2 linked regions of the Lytechinus pictus genome follow. The protein of the gene in region 1 interacts with the protein of each later gene in a pairwise test. Links are inferred from orthologs where the notes say so. Each region holds a gene or a part of one and is shown on either strand. Other genes may lie near its edges.

What was found. The genes of interacting proteins can lie anywhere in the genome.
Region 2: the proteins of cyclin-dependent kinase 14-like (region 1) and cyclin-Y-like protein 1 interact in a two-hybrid assay, tested with the Drosophila melanogaster proteins (2 studies listed by BioGRID). The link is inferred for Lytechinus pictus from reciprocal best matches to the Drosophila melanogaster genes Eip63E and CycY.

The regions. Positions count from the first base shown.
Region 1 is NC_087245.1:10,467,425-10,474,969, reverse strand, and holds the start of cyclin-dependent kinase 14-like, read left to right. Parts: upstream 1-4,545; 5' UTR 4,546-5,405; coding exon 5,406-5,540; intron 5,541-7,545.
Region 2 is NC_087245.1:33,479,758-33,486,989, reverse strand, and holds the start of cyclin-Y-like protein 1, read right to left. Parts: upstream 3,006-7,232; 5' UTR 2,688-3,005; intron 551-2,687; 5' UTR 520-550; coding exon 345-519; intron 1-344. Other genes in the region: zinc finger and BTB domain-containing protein 24-like, read left to right, coding at 4,772-6,862.

The DNA of each region.
Region 1 (7,545 bases):
CAATCTTAAAATCAATCTTACAATCAACATTACAGAGAGACCTTGTAAAATCTAATTAATTGGTCAAATTCATCTATGTCACAAAGAATCAGTCAAACAATATGTAATGGACACCACACAGGTTTAGATTAAAATATCAGAATTACAGTAAGCAATTGTAATTACCATTGGCAACGGTAATGGTAAAAACTATCTCTTTTATGGTGATTTGATTGACGTTATCTTCCAAAGTGAAGCTGAGGTGTGCACATTCAGTTTGTATTTTCTATGTAGCATCTTGTTATAGATTGATGGAAGTCAACACAAAAACAATAAGCAAGACACTCGATAGCTCTCCGAGATACCTGTGACAGATAATGGTGATTCACAAACCTTTAGCTAAAGAGGAAGAGATGGGGTGCCATGTTACCCCTCTGGACTGCCCTGGGGTGCCCTGTAAACCCCTCTTGGTAACCCAGGGGCACAGGGCTTCCCTTTAGTCAGCACCAATAAATGATATCACAATTTTCCTGAACACTAACGTTTTAGAATAAGTGGTTTAGATCATGATTTCCTTTTTGCTATGACCTATATATCTATGACTTATGATTTAACATATTAGATGATTTATTCAGAAGTAGTCATTTTATATGCTTTACATTAAGAATAAACATCACATTTGAGGAACAAAGGAGAAAAGAAGTTGGCGGAGGAATATGCGCCCTGAGCAATAGCTCAACATTACAGAAGGAGATGATGATTATATGAAGGGTGTGACCTGGGGGGTGGGGGGCACTCACATATATTGGTGGTACTCACCCCGGGGGGGCCACTTACATTGACGAGTGGATACCATGCGCGATCAAAAAAACACGTAAAAAGGATGTCTTTTTCAAGATAGGGCACGTTACGTACGTAACGTGAAAAGGGTGTCAAAAACACAAAAATATTGAAAAAAGGGTATCTATTTCGCTCGGAAAAATATACGTGTTTAGGGTCAAATATGCGGGGATGATAAAACAAAATCAAAATGTTTTATAAAGGATGTCCTTTTTGCCCCAACACTACGTGTTTAGAGTCCGATTTGCGCGAGGTGTGGAAGGTGGGGCCGTACTAAACCAAAATAATGGTGTCTAAAGGTAAAACCGACGACCGAGGGACGCGTGACATAACAAAATATCTCTGCACTTGTTTAGGGGTTCATTTCAGGGAATACTTGCTAAGAGTATCGTTTTGTTTCCAATACTTGTTAAGGGGTGCATTTTCAGAATATGGAAAATACATCGCTGTACTTGTTTAGGGGCTCAGTTCTGGGAATACTTGCCAATAGTATTTGTTTCCAATACTTGTTAAGGGTAGGGTTTCACACGCCAATACTTGTTAAGGGGTGCATTTTCAGAATATGGAAAATACATGTTTAGGGTGCTTTTCAAGACCCCGTGGTCGCGCATGGTATCCACTCGTCAATGGAAGTGGCCCCCCCGGGGTACTCACATATATTGGTGGTACGAGGACGTGCCAATTGATGATCCCCTTTTTCAGACCTAATTTTCAGTTCTCTAGATACTCCGAATGACAAAATTTCAGTTCAGAAGCTGCACAGCCCCGCTCGCAATACTCCTGTTACGAGACATCTCAGTTCCCAAGCCCTGCCAAAATTGTCAAGGGTGAGCACCGCATCCGAGAGATGCATGTACGGCTTCGCAACTCCCTGCATATAACTAGTAGCCGCCCCATACATGGCTAGGGCATGCACAGGGAGTGAACAGTATGATTATGCAACTCTCTGTTCAGCCGTGACAAGGTAGGCATCAGGAATATTTTTAGCAAAAAAACAAAAATTGAAAAATAAGTTCCAATATGATGCAACTTTCATTAATAGTCTTGTGATGGGGGAATTTGCATATTTTGCTCACTGATTTATTGGCACATATATATCCAACATCTTGAATATTGAAATGGTGTAATTTCCTGGGGGATGCTCAAACACTACAACCTTCAAATGGGACTATGGAAAACCACATTTCTGTGTTGTTTAACACTTTGGCTAACCGTACACAACATATCAGCATGTTGTGAAACACTGCTGTGGTGTTCCCCTTGAGTGGTTGGTTTAACTGTATGTCTGTAGAACTCCTTTAAGGGTATGTTTGCTTGAATCTGTCTGTTTTAATTCAATTTGTTTGGTCCTTTGGTGGTAAGGCTGTGTTACTTTAATCACCTTCCCACCCCACTCCACTCACCTACCATGATTTATCATCCTACTCGACCTTTCTTCACAGATATCTGTATGAAATTTCATCGTCATAATCATAGAAAGTGTATTTCTCTAGCATATTTTGTTAAAATGAAACTTGTCATCACCCACTAATCACATGATGACAACATGTAGTCAACCACGTGTATAATTTCAACATGATATTTGGGCATTCCCCATTATGGTGAGCTAGATTGCCTCTCTTACTCAGCCCATAACCCAAAGATTAAAACCCAAACCACAGTCAAACTATGATTACCTTTTATATCCCCATACGCTTTTTGTTCTTACCAAATTAACCAATATCTTGTGCAATCAGAGCAATGAGGTACTTCCCCAGGACAAGGTTTTAACCAGGTCTGAATTCACCCACTGTTTTGAAAGATTGTTTAGAAATTCTTTACACCTTTTATTATTTGGTAAAATTGTAAATTTAGTAATTGCAGCATGTGATATGATCCTCCAATATTAAATTTTCTGTAAGAATATTATTACTTAAAAAATTTCATCCAAAAGTTGTCCCCAAATTAAAATTTCTTTTGATGACACAATTTATGTCAATCATTATCATGATTATTGAGCCTGGAGAAATGTTTGTTTTGGGTTTTTCTGATGTGACCATCTGTTTGTATAAAACCAAACATTGGTAGATATAAGTTGCCATGTAGGGCATGCTATTAAGATAGTACTTAGATGTGAGCATGCATGGCTGTGTTTAGTTGTTTGAGTTACATTTCAGAATCTAATGTAAAATGTTAGTAAATTTGACTGATAATGAATGGATAATATAGCATAGTAGTTTAGCAGGATGTGAAAATATTCAAATCAATCATTAAATTTTATGAAGATACATGTATTTAGATTTTACAGATTGTGTGTTCAGTCGATCCATACAAATCAAAATCAGTTTGTTTCATAAAATCATATTTTTATATGGGCTATTTGGGGTCCTTCTTTCTGATTTGAATATGAATGTTGAATTTATTTTTTTTCTTTCCTGTTTGATTTTTAAGTGTTAACCTTAAACTTTAATACATCTTTGTGATATTCAAAATAATCTGATGTATATTTTGTGTGTTTTTATTTTTCTACTAGTTGGGTGAGGTTAGAAAATCAAATTTTGTTTTGATGCAATTATTTTTTTTCATGTGATAATTACAAAATACAAGTCTGGACCAGTCTTTTCCTAGCATGTGGTCTAAAACTTTGTTGGCATTTGGCCAACTCTAGAAGTCTGTCTGTGATTGGCCCATTGGCAGACCAAAACATTACATCATTGGCTATTTAAACACCCCCAAACTTCTCCAATACTCTTTCATTCCATTGCAACACTATGCTTGCAGAAATAGGAAACACTAAAAGCATAATGACCTGTCATGACCTACCCTGTAACACACAAAAAAATAATGTGTAACATTCTATCCCATTGTCAACCAATCAATAGCTGTAGCTTTGTTTTTAAATTGTTGCAAAACAGGTCCCTGGTATGTGCACTGTCTTAATATTTGCAAAATTTTAATACTCAGGAAACAAACTTTAACCATTCTTTCCCTTTCAAGGAACAATTATTGATGATTATTTGTTTATTAATGATTATGAAAAAATATTTTACATTGTCATAAATAGATTATGTACATTAACCTTTGAATGTATTTAAAATAGATTGTGGAAGAACCATTAAGGCTATCCACCCTATTACAGAAAAATGAATGAATAAATTAATAAATAAAAAAACAAAATGCAGGTACATTTATTAGAATAACTTTTAAAAACAGTTTTTTCTTCAAACATCAGTTGTGTATTAAAAATGAAAATTGTTATTCAATGATCCAGTATGATAACAATCATAACATACTCTATAACATGTAACATATTATGTAGCACTTACAGAAGATTACTGACATGTCTAAAGCTGATATTATGTGAAGAGGTTAAAGGTGGATGTTGGGCCAATATTTTATGCACTTTGAAAACTGTGTCAAGTCCAATTTCGTCTCTTATTCTTGCATATATTTAATGTGACACTGGCTTACAATTAATGTGTCAGTTTAGTTATTGTTGATCTACCCTTTACCATGACAACAGCTGATACAATAATAAATTGTTTCCTGAATGGTGTTTTTACTTTTCAAAATGGAAAATGATAAATTGACCATACATTGTGCAACATCTCCTATACGTCAAGGTTCTGTCACCTGTTTGATCTAGACTCGGCATGTATTGCTAAATACCGATTGTTTTTGTAAGAGCTTTTTATAGATCTGCCGTCCTGTAATAGTTTGAAAATTGTTTTGGTTTAAATGTGGACTACTCCAACGTGTAACTGTCGTTTTGGGGAGGTCAGTACCATGTTCCTTCCTCTCCTACCACTGGATTTCCTGTGAGAAGATCATGAATATTCATCAGGTGACTATTCATGTAGACTGATGCAGTGCATGTCACAATGAATGAAGGAAGCATGCATTATTCATGTGGAGTGATTTGATTGGATAATGCTGTGATGTCATAGAACTTTTCTCAGGGATTGAGAAACCTCATTGGTCCAACAAGCCTTCTCCCTGTGAATATGTATGAGAAGACAGATATTTTGATAGGTTGGCTGTAAACATGATCTTACCAATTGGATTGATAGATATTGATTATGGACAATTGTGCAATATATGGGTGAAAATTTGACAGACTCTTCTGTATAGTTTTAAAAATGATATTGCACATATAAGAGATAAATAGTCTTGTCTCCTGCCACAGACTTAATGTTCTGTAGTAACCTTCTTTTTGTGAAAGAGATAGGAAGTCTCCGATCACCTGGTGTTTCGTAGGTAAAGACTACAGGAACCAGTTTTGAAACCAAACATGATTTAGACACGCCAACATTAACCAATCACAACTCTTGCACCAGGACAGCCCAAGAGGAAGTCGTTTGTACAGCACGCTCGTTTTGGCGGTTGATCTTGTTTGAGTATATAGTCATCAACTCTCCTGCAGACCTTATCAGTCTGCTACACATCCCTGACTGGTGGAACATACAACTTTTCTGCTCTTAGCAACTCAATGGTCAGCTCTTTGTGATTTAGGTGTAGACTGCCAATCAAAAGGAAAAGATTTCTTGATTGAGGATCTGTTACTTTTATCAATTTTCTTGGAGTTTTGAGGCTTTTCTATAATCACCATGCCAATCCTTATCCCGACAATCTTGACGATGCCCAAGTCTACCAGACGAGGCAGGTTTATTAAACCTCTTCCAGTCCAGATAGATGGACCTACGTGTAATCACAAACATCTTGGCAAATTGCCCTACTGTAAGGTATGTCATATCAATCTGTAGCTCTACCTATTTCATTCATACCTGATTTTTTAAGTTTTTAAGTCATTGTAATCTTGTTGCTTATGTGTTTAAGATGCAGATTATCTGCTAATAGTGTGTATAGATCTACCCTCTTCATCTTCCTTGCATGGTATATTGATAAATTCTCCTCATTGGTGGTGTGATTTGTAAGTTTTAAGGATTTAAATAAATTCAGATTAGCTGTGAATAGGGTCCAGCAAAATATTGGATTTTTAAATCTTGAGTATTAATTTTGTATCTCAAAAGATTTCATTCAAATCTTTTAAGTGGTCTCTAATCTGTCTTTATTTCAACCCCTTGAAATTTAGAGTGTACAATAAGTTTTTTGGGGTCGTAAGAACCTGCATTCATAATTTTGTTTTACATTACAAAATAAATTTCTATCTTAAATAGATCCAGTGAAGATTTACCAGCTGAACAATATTGAATTGAATACTAAATTCTTTTAATTAAATCCTTTGAGATTTGAAAATAATTCCTTAGGTTATAAAAATAAATCAAATGACTGACTGGTTTATACTATTCACATGTTGAAGTTTCATAGTGCCACTTATTGGCTTTCCATATCATATAAATACATGCTTCATGAACATGTAAGCATATCACCATGTCTTCATCTTTAATTTCTATCTTCATCTACTTGAAATAATTGATTTCAGCATTCTCTTCTATTGGTATTTCTTTCAATGATCAATCCTTTCATTACATCTTTCTCATGATCTATAAATAGTTAATTATACCCTCCCCTGTTTCTCCACATCCCATTCCCCTTAATGGACAGCATCCCCCATCTCTATGGGATCCATAGCAACATGTATTTGTTTAGTAGATTACAATGTAATCAAGGAATCCATTTAGTATCTTGTTTCCTTGTCCACTGATGGAGATAGTGATGAATGATGAAATGATTGTGTGCCCATTGACTTAGAGTTCAAAATGCATAATTCAAATTATCTTGAAATTTAAAAGTAAAACATTTTATTAACATGGTGAAGGAGGTATTAACATTGTTCTCTCAAGGTGTGCTTGATGCTTTAAGTTATGATTGACTGTTTTGAAAAACAGGAAAACTCATGTCAAATACTCCCAATAGACATAGATGATGCCATCCGCTTGAGATGGAGTAACAGCACTTCTGGGAATGATTTTTGTTGAAACTTATTAAGGAGGTAATTGCTAATTAAGTTTGACTTCCACTTAAGATTTAATTCACAGCTCTACAAAGTAATAATTGGATGTTTGTCAAGGAATATTATGATTTATTGTGATCCTAACATATCACTTGGAAATTTCGTCAAAAACATTGTTCGATAATATTAAATGCTCATTATTCATAAATGTCAAGGATTGTTCTCTATGTTATATCAGAAAGACATTATGACAAACCCAGGAAAGCTCAATATGAGCCTAAACCTTGACTTTTATTTTCATTCTTGATAGATATTTTTACCTTGGCATTTACATGATGCTTTCTATTTCTCTATAATCTTCAATAACATAATCAGTCTTACTTTTTTTCATCTTCCTCCATTTTCATTCCAAGTATTTTATTTCAACTTGAATTCATGTGAACCAATATATATCTTGAATTAAAACATTATTAACAAATGTTATTATTTTTCCTTTGAAAGTATAGTGGCTGCGTCTTTTAACCCTTTCATCTTCTTAGCATCATGATAGTGCATCAGTTTGAATTTTCATTTATTACAGATCTTAATCATCAGTGATAAAATGTCAGAATTATGAGTGAAAAGTTTTCAGGAGGAAATTGAATGTTAATGGCAATGAAATGATAAAGACAAATATGTACTAACAGAGATGATCAATTGATCAGCAAGGCTTAACATTCCTTGGCAAAGATTCTGAAGTTTCAATGAATAAGACATGGTATGATGATGGATGATTGTTACATGACAAGTAAATGTCAGAGTTTGAGATTCATACTGCCTTGTCAACATGAGAC
Region 2 (7,232 bases), about 23 Mb from region 1:
GGAGCAAATTGGGAGGCAGTTCTATGGGGGGGAGCTTTGATATTATTTGTACATTCACAAAAACATGTCATTTTAAAAATGCCAAAATATTTCCCCCCTTCTCCACTCACCTGCAATTTGTTTTTACATTTACATGTATACAGCATGCTGTGCCCCTCAAAAGTTTGGGCTCTTTATTCCACTGCTCATTCCAACGATGGTATTTTTTTATTCATCAAATCAGTTTGTTGTTTAAGTCGAACTGCATTAATTTATTGGCCTTGACCGTTTATTCAGAGTATAAATGGTGTTCAGTTACATGTATGGGATTATATTTTTATAATTTAAACAAGTTGCTTGTTTACCTTCTATGCCAGTCTCTCTGTCACCAATATGCTGGAGATTTGATCTTTCGTCCACATTTACTTCTTCAGGTGTCGGCTCGTATCGTTCTATTTCTTGAGAAGGAGCCCTGTGGGCCCGCCTGGTTGGATTCTTGTGACAGCTTTGAATGCAGCCACATGAATGTTTATTCCCCATTACGCACAGAAGGTGAATCAAACTAGAAAATCTGTTCCAAAGAAAAGGAAAACAAAGATTACATTGTACTTTGTAATTTATCTGAACTTTGTCTGAAAACTTACTCATAACTTATTTGGCTACAATTTGCCTTTGTTATCAAACATTCTCTGTAATAAAACATTGGAAGACAAGTTTCAAATGGTTCAATGGATTTAAGTGAGCTTGTAGCCTGTTGGCAATATGCGAGCAGTATTATAGTCAAAACAGAAAGGCATCCTTAATACTAAGCTTACCAGTACCAAGGGCTGAATGGAACTGTGTTGACAAGAAGCAAACTGTATACGCTAGACTTTTCTCAAAACCTACATTGGTAGAAGTGTCACAGGTAACATAATTTTGATATGGACTCCCAGGGGGCAACTCAGTATATAATGCGTAATGGGTACATGTGCCGTGGAGGGGACCCCCATTTTTACACTCAAATTTCCGTACCAAGGCGTAGCATTATTGTCTTATTGAGAAAAAGAACAAAGAAAGCCGCTCCAAAGCATAGCATATTTTACGTTACGCCGTGCCGGCCGCATTGATCTGCTACACTGAGCTGCAATTTTAGTGGAAAAGCGGCCGCAGAGTGCTGTCCGACAATCGCCTCTGCGCGAGCGCACCCTGCGCCCGTGCCACCGGGCTAGCTGCATGCACGTATATGCCTGTTCCATAGGGATGCAAACGCACTCACACGCAGGCGACCCGTTCCAAGGACCTCCGTTTTCACAAACATTTGTAGTTTCGAAACCTGTTCTGAGGACCCTCCTTTTTACAATAAGCCCGCTCCAAGGCCCCCGTTTTTTGTCTCGTCCGCGGCACATACATGTACCTACCACTTTTTTGGTCGAGTACCCCCCCCCCCCCCCCCCCCGGTATAGACTGAATGCGAAAAAAACAGGTGAGCTGCCGCGGGTAGATCTTTTGATCACTAACTTTAGTTAGAATTCATACATGCTTGCCATTTTGTGTGCAATTTTGAATCAGAGAGAACAGATACCAGATTATTTTCCTTTTTTCAGGGTCAAGCTCCTGAATACTACTTATTGATGATAGTGACTCTGGGCAAACATCAAAAGAATTGATCTAAGTGCATGATTTCCATTATATTTTTATTTTGGGGTGTTTTGAGGTACCCCGGTCTCGCGAAAAATCCAATCGTATGGTCATGGCGAGGGTCTGGCCGACCGGCTTCGCCAGGTGCTCATCTATCTGCTAGTATAATAAGTTATTATAATTTTCTATTCCATCATTGTGTAAAGCGCTGTGAAACGATGATATATTGTAAGAGCGCTATATAAATGAACATATTATTATTATTATTACTGTGGAGCTAGACGAAGTCTCTGCGGATCATATCCCCAGTAGAGGGACTGGTTCAAAAATTGGGATTGTCCCAGAACACAAGCCAGGATATCCTCATAAACCAAGACAAATCATGTTCATGTCTTGATAAATTGAGATTGTCTTTGTTTATGGGGAGTTTTTTTTTTCATCTCAAAAAGTTAAATCTTGATTGGTGTCGGCACTTGACAGGAGAATGAACTTTCCTAGATTTCTTGTTATGAAATAAAGACAAAAATCAATGAGCCCCGTCGGCGTCGGGGGGATTTTGAATTTTTATTTTTTTAACCCCCCTAACGCCATAACGGCGGCTGCACGGTCGCGAGCCGTCTGTGTACGAGAAGAAATAAGAAAAAATAAAAAATGTTAACTTAAAAAACGCCTTGAAGCAGACGGCTGCCAGCTGTCTAATAGTAATGATATCTTGTGTCAGACTCAGAGTCTGAGCCCGGCAACCCCTGCCATGCAGAGCAGAGCCTGCGCGGGCAGTGCATTCTCTATGCTGCAGCCTGCCCCTTGACTCGTCGGCTTCATGCATGCTGCTGGATGATGCGCACCACCCAACACTCTCCCCTGCTCAGCCCGGACCGGACTCCGGAGACCGTACCGGCACGTAGATTCAGTCTACAGAGAAAAAGTTGACCGCGGCCGCGTCTGTGTCGCTTCCGTTACAATACAATAAATCATGCTTTACAATATTATACAAACATGGAAATTACAATTAACAGTAACATACTGCTTGAAATAACAAAAACCATACGACAATAATAAGTTCTGAAGATAGAAATACAATACATTACCGAAATTCTTTGATGTTCAGTCGGCATTCACACGGTGATCCCCGAAGTCATCATCAATCTTTGACCTCTGACGTCTGCGAAAGGAAGGTTTCATTCCATTATGGGGGTAAAAGAAAAATTGATGTCCCCAAGTCGACCCAAAATTCCAGATAAGAATACTGCTGACATCCTCTGAAAGATAATTGACTGTTTTAAAAATTATACAATCCAATTTTCAAGAAAATTTCCGTTAATGAGCAAAAGTATATACTTAACATAATTCGCTCAGGATGAAGGCGCTGCCACCATTGACCTCCCTTTATTCAGAATAGACTACTACGTGTGTAGTAGTATATTCTCATAGATCATATTTGCAATATACTTCAATCACGGATGCCCCACTATAGTTTGTGTACTGTGAAGGCATCCCATGTATTAATATGGCAGTTGTCATCAACTTTATTTTTCCCATATCTGTTATAGCTTGCCCATTTTGACATTTGATTCGACAAGCATGACAAGTGCCCACAGTCTGCACTATATTGAGATCAATTTAAAAATTTTGAATGGAATCAAATGGAATCTGTGCATAGTGGCTAGTGCAGTTCATTTTCAGACAAGCTGAGCTGAGACTGGGTGAGATGAGACTGCACTGCAGTGCATAGCTCCCGAGTCCTGACTGACCTGAGGCTTCGCCATGCACCAACTACCATACTAATAGTAATAGACATACAGTCTATTCAACTCTGTTTTGGTCCCTTGTTTATCTCATTCGGCACGTTTGGTGAGTATAAAGCCTTACATGAAAATAATGTTAAACACTCTGACTGACCACTCTTATTACAATACATTATTACATAGACCGGGCCTACTATTGTGAAGACAAACATTAGACTACTACGTGCAGGATCTCTCTGCTGATCTCCAAAACTAACAGAGGAAGAAGTTCAGAAGAGAATAAGAGATGCTGAAAATTTCATCAAAATCAGATAACAAATAACGAAGTTATTGAATTTCAAAGTTTAGCAATAATTTATGAAAACAGAATGCACATCAGATCATCATGAATATTCATTAGGTGGGCTGATGATGTAACATCCCCATTTTCTTTTTCTTATGTTATTACATGAAATCATAATTGTTTCATTTTTTCATACATGTGTGAATAATGTGTCTCCTTTATAATGAATATCTAATGCACTAAATCAGTTGTCAATCCAATTTTTTTCAGTTGAATAAACCAAATGTCATATAATAGAATACAAAGAACAATTGGGGATATGACATCATCAAGTTGCTCATTGAATATTCATGAAGACATGCCTAGAACTGTTTCACCGGAATAATGCAAATTTTTAAAATGCCATAACATTGATATTTCTAGTCAGATTTTGATCAAATTGATCAAATTTTCAGTGTTTTGTTTGATTTTTCTAAATCTGTTTAAAGGGATGCTCCGGGCTGAGAATATGATTTAAACAGATTAAGAAAAATCAGACAAACAAAACACTGAAAATTTAATCAAATTTCATTAAAGAATTTAGTAATAAATCTCTTATGTAATTTTGGTGGCAGCTGTGGGATCAAAATCCATGCAAAAATACATGATGTTCCAAGTGCTCTGTCTGGGTTGTTGTTTTTTATAGAAAAAATCCTTAAACATGGGGACTGGAGTATTGTTATGGAGCTCAAAATTTCTAACATTTGTATCCCAAATTTTCAATCCTTGAATTGTGAATGTTGATAGCTATCTCTTGAGTTTGTTTTGCATGTAAAATATACCTGAGTTTAGGACTTGTCTCATAGCGTACACAGAAACAAACTTAGGTGTGTGGTCCAAGTGGCTTCAGTGTAGATGTATTTAGAGTGATGGCCAAAACTGTTTAATAATGTGAGGCTTCAATTTATGTCTCTGTTTTAATTTTATTTCATGTTTGAATCAAAATAATGTTTGTGCAAAATGCATGAGAATAATTGACATTTGTAAGCTCCTAAAATTTTGAAGTATGATATTGAAGCAATGTTTGTTTGGTATTTTCACAATCAAGCAAGTAGTAACTATTTGGTTCAATTTCCTTTTATTTCAGGTCCTTGTCAAATGTAAGATGGAAAGCACTCAGCAAGATAAATCTGACCCAGCCTCACAAACCAGCTCAGCTTTAGTAGTACCAGGACATCATCGGTCACAGAGGTCAAAAAGCAGTGAAGATTCAGCCTCTGCTAGACCACCACTTGAAAGAGGAACCCAGCTAGTGAACTTTGACTCCCAGAATCCAATGCTAGCAGAAAAAAAGAAACAAGATGAGTCTGAAATTCCACAAGATCTGTCAAAACATGGGAGCAATCTGTCTCGAGAGACCTCGTCCGAGACCACAGAAACTGTGGACATGCAGTTTGTTCTTGTGGATGATGATGACGATGACATTGAGGATGATGAGTTCATGCAAACTGAGTCCTTGGATAGCCCTGGTGAAGCGTCATTGAATGCTGCAGGATCGGAAAACAGAAGTCCTGGATTCTTTCTCAAGTGCAGTATGTGTGACCGCGTGTTCTCTAGCCAACAGAGGCTGATGCTTCATATCAACAAACACATGGGAGCCAAGCCGTATGCCTGTCCGCAGTGCCCAGCCAACTTCAACTCAAGGGCATCATTTCAAAGGCATCGGCGCTCCCACAAAAACTCAATGGCTGATATTCAGACACATACATGCACCCTTTGTCACGCTCAGTTTTCAGATATTCAGCATTTGACAGAGCACCTGAAGATTCACACAGAGAAGCGTAGAAGCTGTCCACATTGTGGAATCTTCATTGGTGGCTCCCGTAGCATGCAAAAACACATTAGCATAGAGCATCCTTCAATGGTGAAGACCTACAAAAAGCACAGACCTCCCAATATACCTGTCAGGATCGACCTTCCATCAGCGAGTCCAAACCAATTGCCCTCGACATCAAATGAAGGAGAAAAACCTGTTAGTTGTAGACGTTGTGGCAGGCAGTTCCAAACAAATAGAGCACTACAAGGCCATATGAAAGGGCATAGTCGACTGTATCAATGGAACCCTCGGAGGTGCAAGTGTGGGATACTGTTGGCTGATGAGGCAGAGTATCAAAGACATCTGAAGAACTCTTGTTGCTCAGCTAGTTCTAGTTTGGATATGTTGTCACCACCTGTAGACTCACCGGGAAGTCTTTCTCCAGTGTCCCCTAATAGTGCAGCACATTTGATGGCCCTCTCTGCTCAAAGACAAGCTAACATCCGGAGCAGGAGCCTGGATTCATTCCTGAGAAATCCCCCAGCACCTTTTGCTTTCGTTAATAGATATCCTGCAAGTGCAGAGGGTTCTTTGATAGATTTTCCACAGTCCCTGGCAGCACAGTCTGCAGAATCGACACATTCCATGGGGAATCTTCACTTTGAAAATAGCCCAACGAGTAAAGAGACACCAAGCAGCCAAAGCACTTCTGAACAAAGAAGCCAGAGTCCTGTCAACAGAATCACCATTAAGACAGAAGCTGAGGACGATGAAGAATGGAGTGAAGTTGTCAACATTGTACAAGTCCACAGTAACACAACAACATCTGAGGAACCATCTGCGGATGGTGATTGTGTTCAGGACCAGCCACCTGACTTTTCTTTAAATAGAGAGGAACAAAAGGCCCACAAAGGAAGACCTGAACAACCAGCTGCACATACGATTACACACACTAGACAGAATGAGAGAGATGATCAACTGAGGAAAGTTCAACCTTTGGTCCAAAGTGGAGCAGAGGCATCATCATCCAGTGGAACAATTCAACTGGAAAGACCAGTTGAGCCGCCCACTGTTCCTGCAAGATTCTCTGTACCTCTGGTTGATGATCCTAGAAGGGGTCAGGACTGTGGTCCTTCTCTTGGAAGAGTAAGCAGTGAATCTCCCAACATGCAGATTTCCTCTTCCCAGAGCAGTCAGCCACCACCTAATCCTCTTGTCAATACTTCCTTGATGGGGGAAAGAGACCAGGAGGGATTGCCGTGGCGTTGTTCATTCTGTGGTATCACATTTGAAGACAGTTTGATGTATGTTATACATAAGGGATGTCATGAGCCAGGGTCCAGGTTCCGTTGTAGTATGTGCGGAGAACAGTGTGCTGATAAAGTTACTTTTATGCTACATTTTGTGAGAGGGCAGCACACAAAACCAACCCATGTATAGCCTGGTGAACTTTTTTAATTAAACAAAATATGCTACATGTTCATTGTTTGATGAAAATAAAAAATGGCTAGTACTTAATAATGAATTTTATTGCTTGCCATCTTTCATGTAACACCTATGCATTATTAGAAGTTAAAGGCTGAAACAGAGATATTTCAAAACTGCAGTAGCCTCCTTACCTTGATGAAAGAAAGGAAGAAGATGATAAAAATAAGATGAATGAATGATTTGAAATAAAATCCAAGAATATGATTTATATATTTCTGATGCATGAAAACACTTCATAGACTTGTACATTGCAATTTTTTGCTCTGACTCCAAGCTCATTACATGCATATGTGCACATGTATTTTGTCATGTCCTTTCAAAG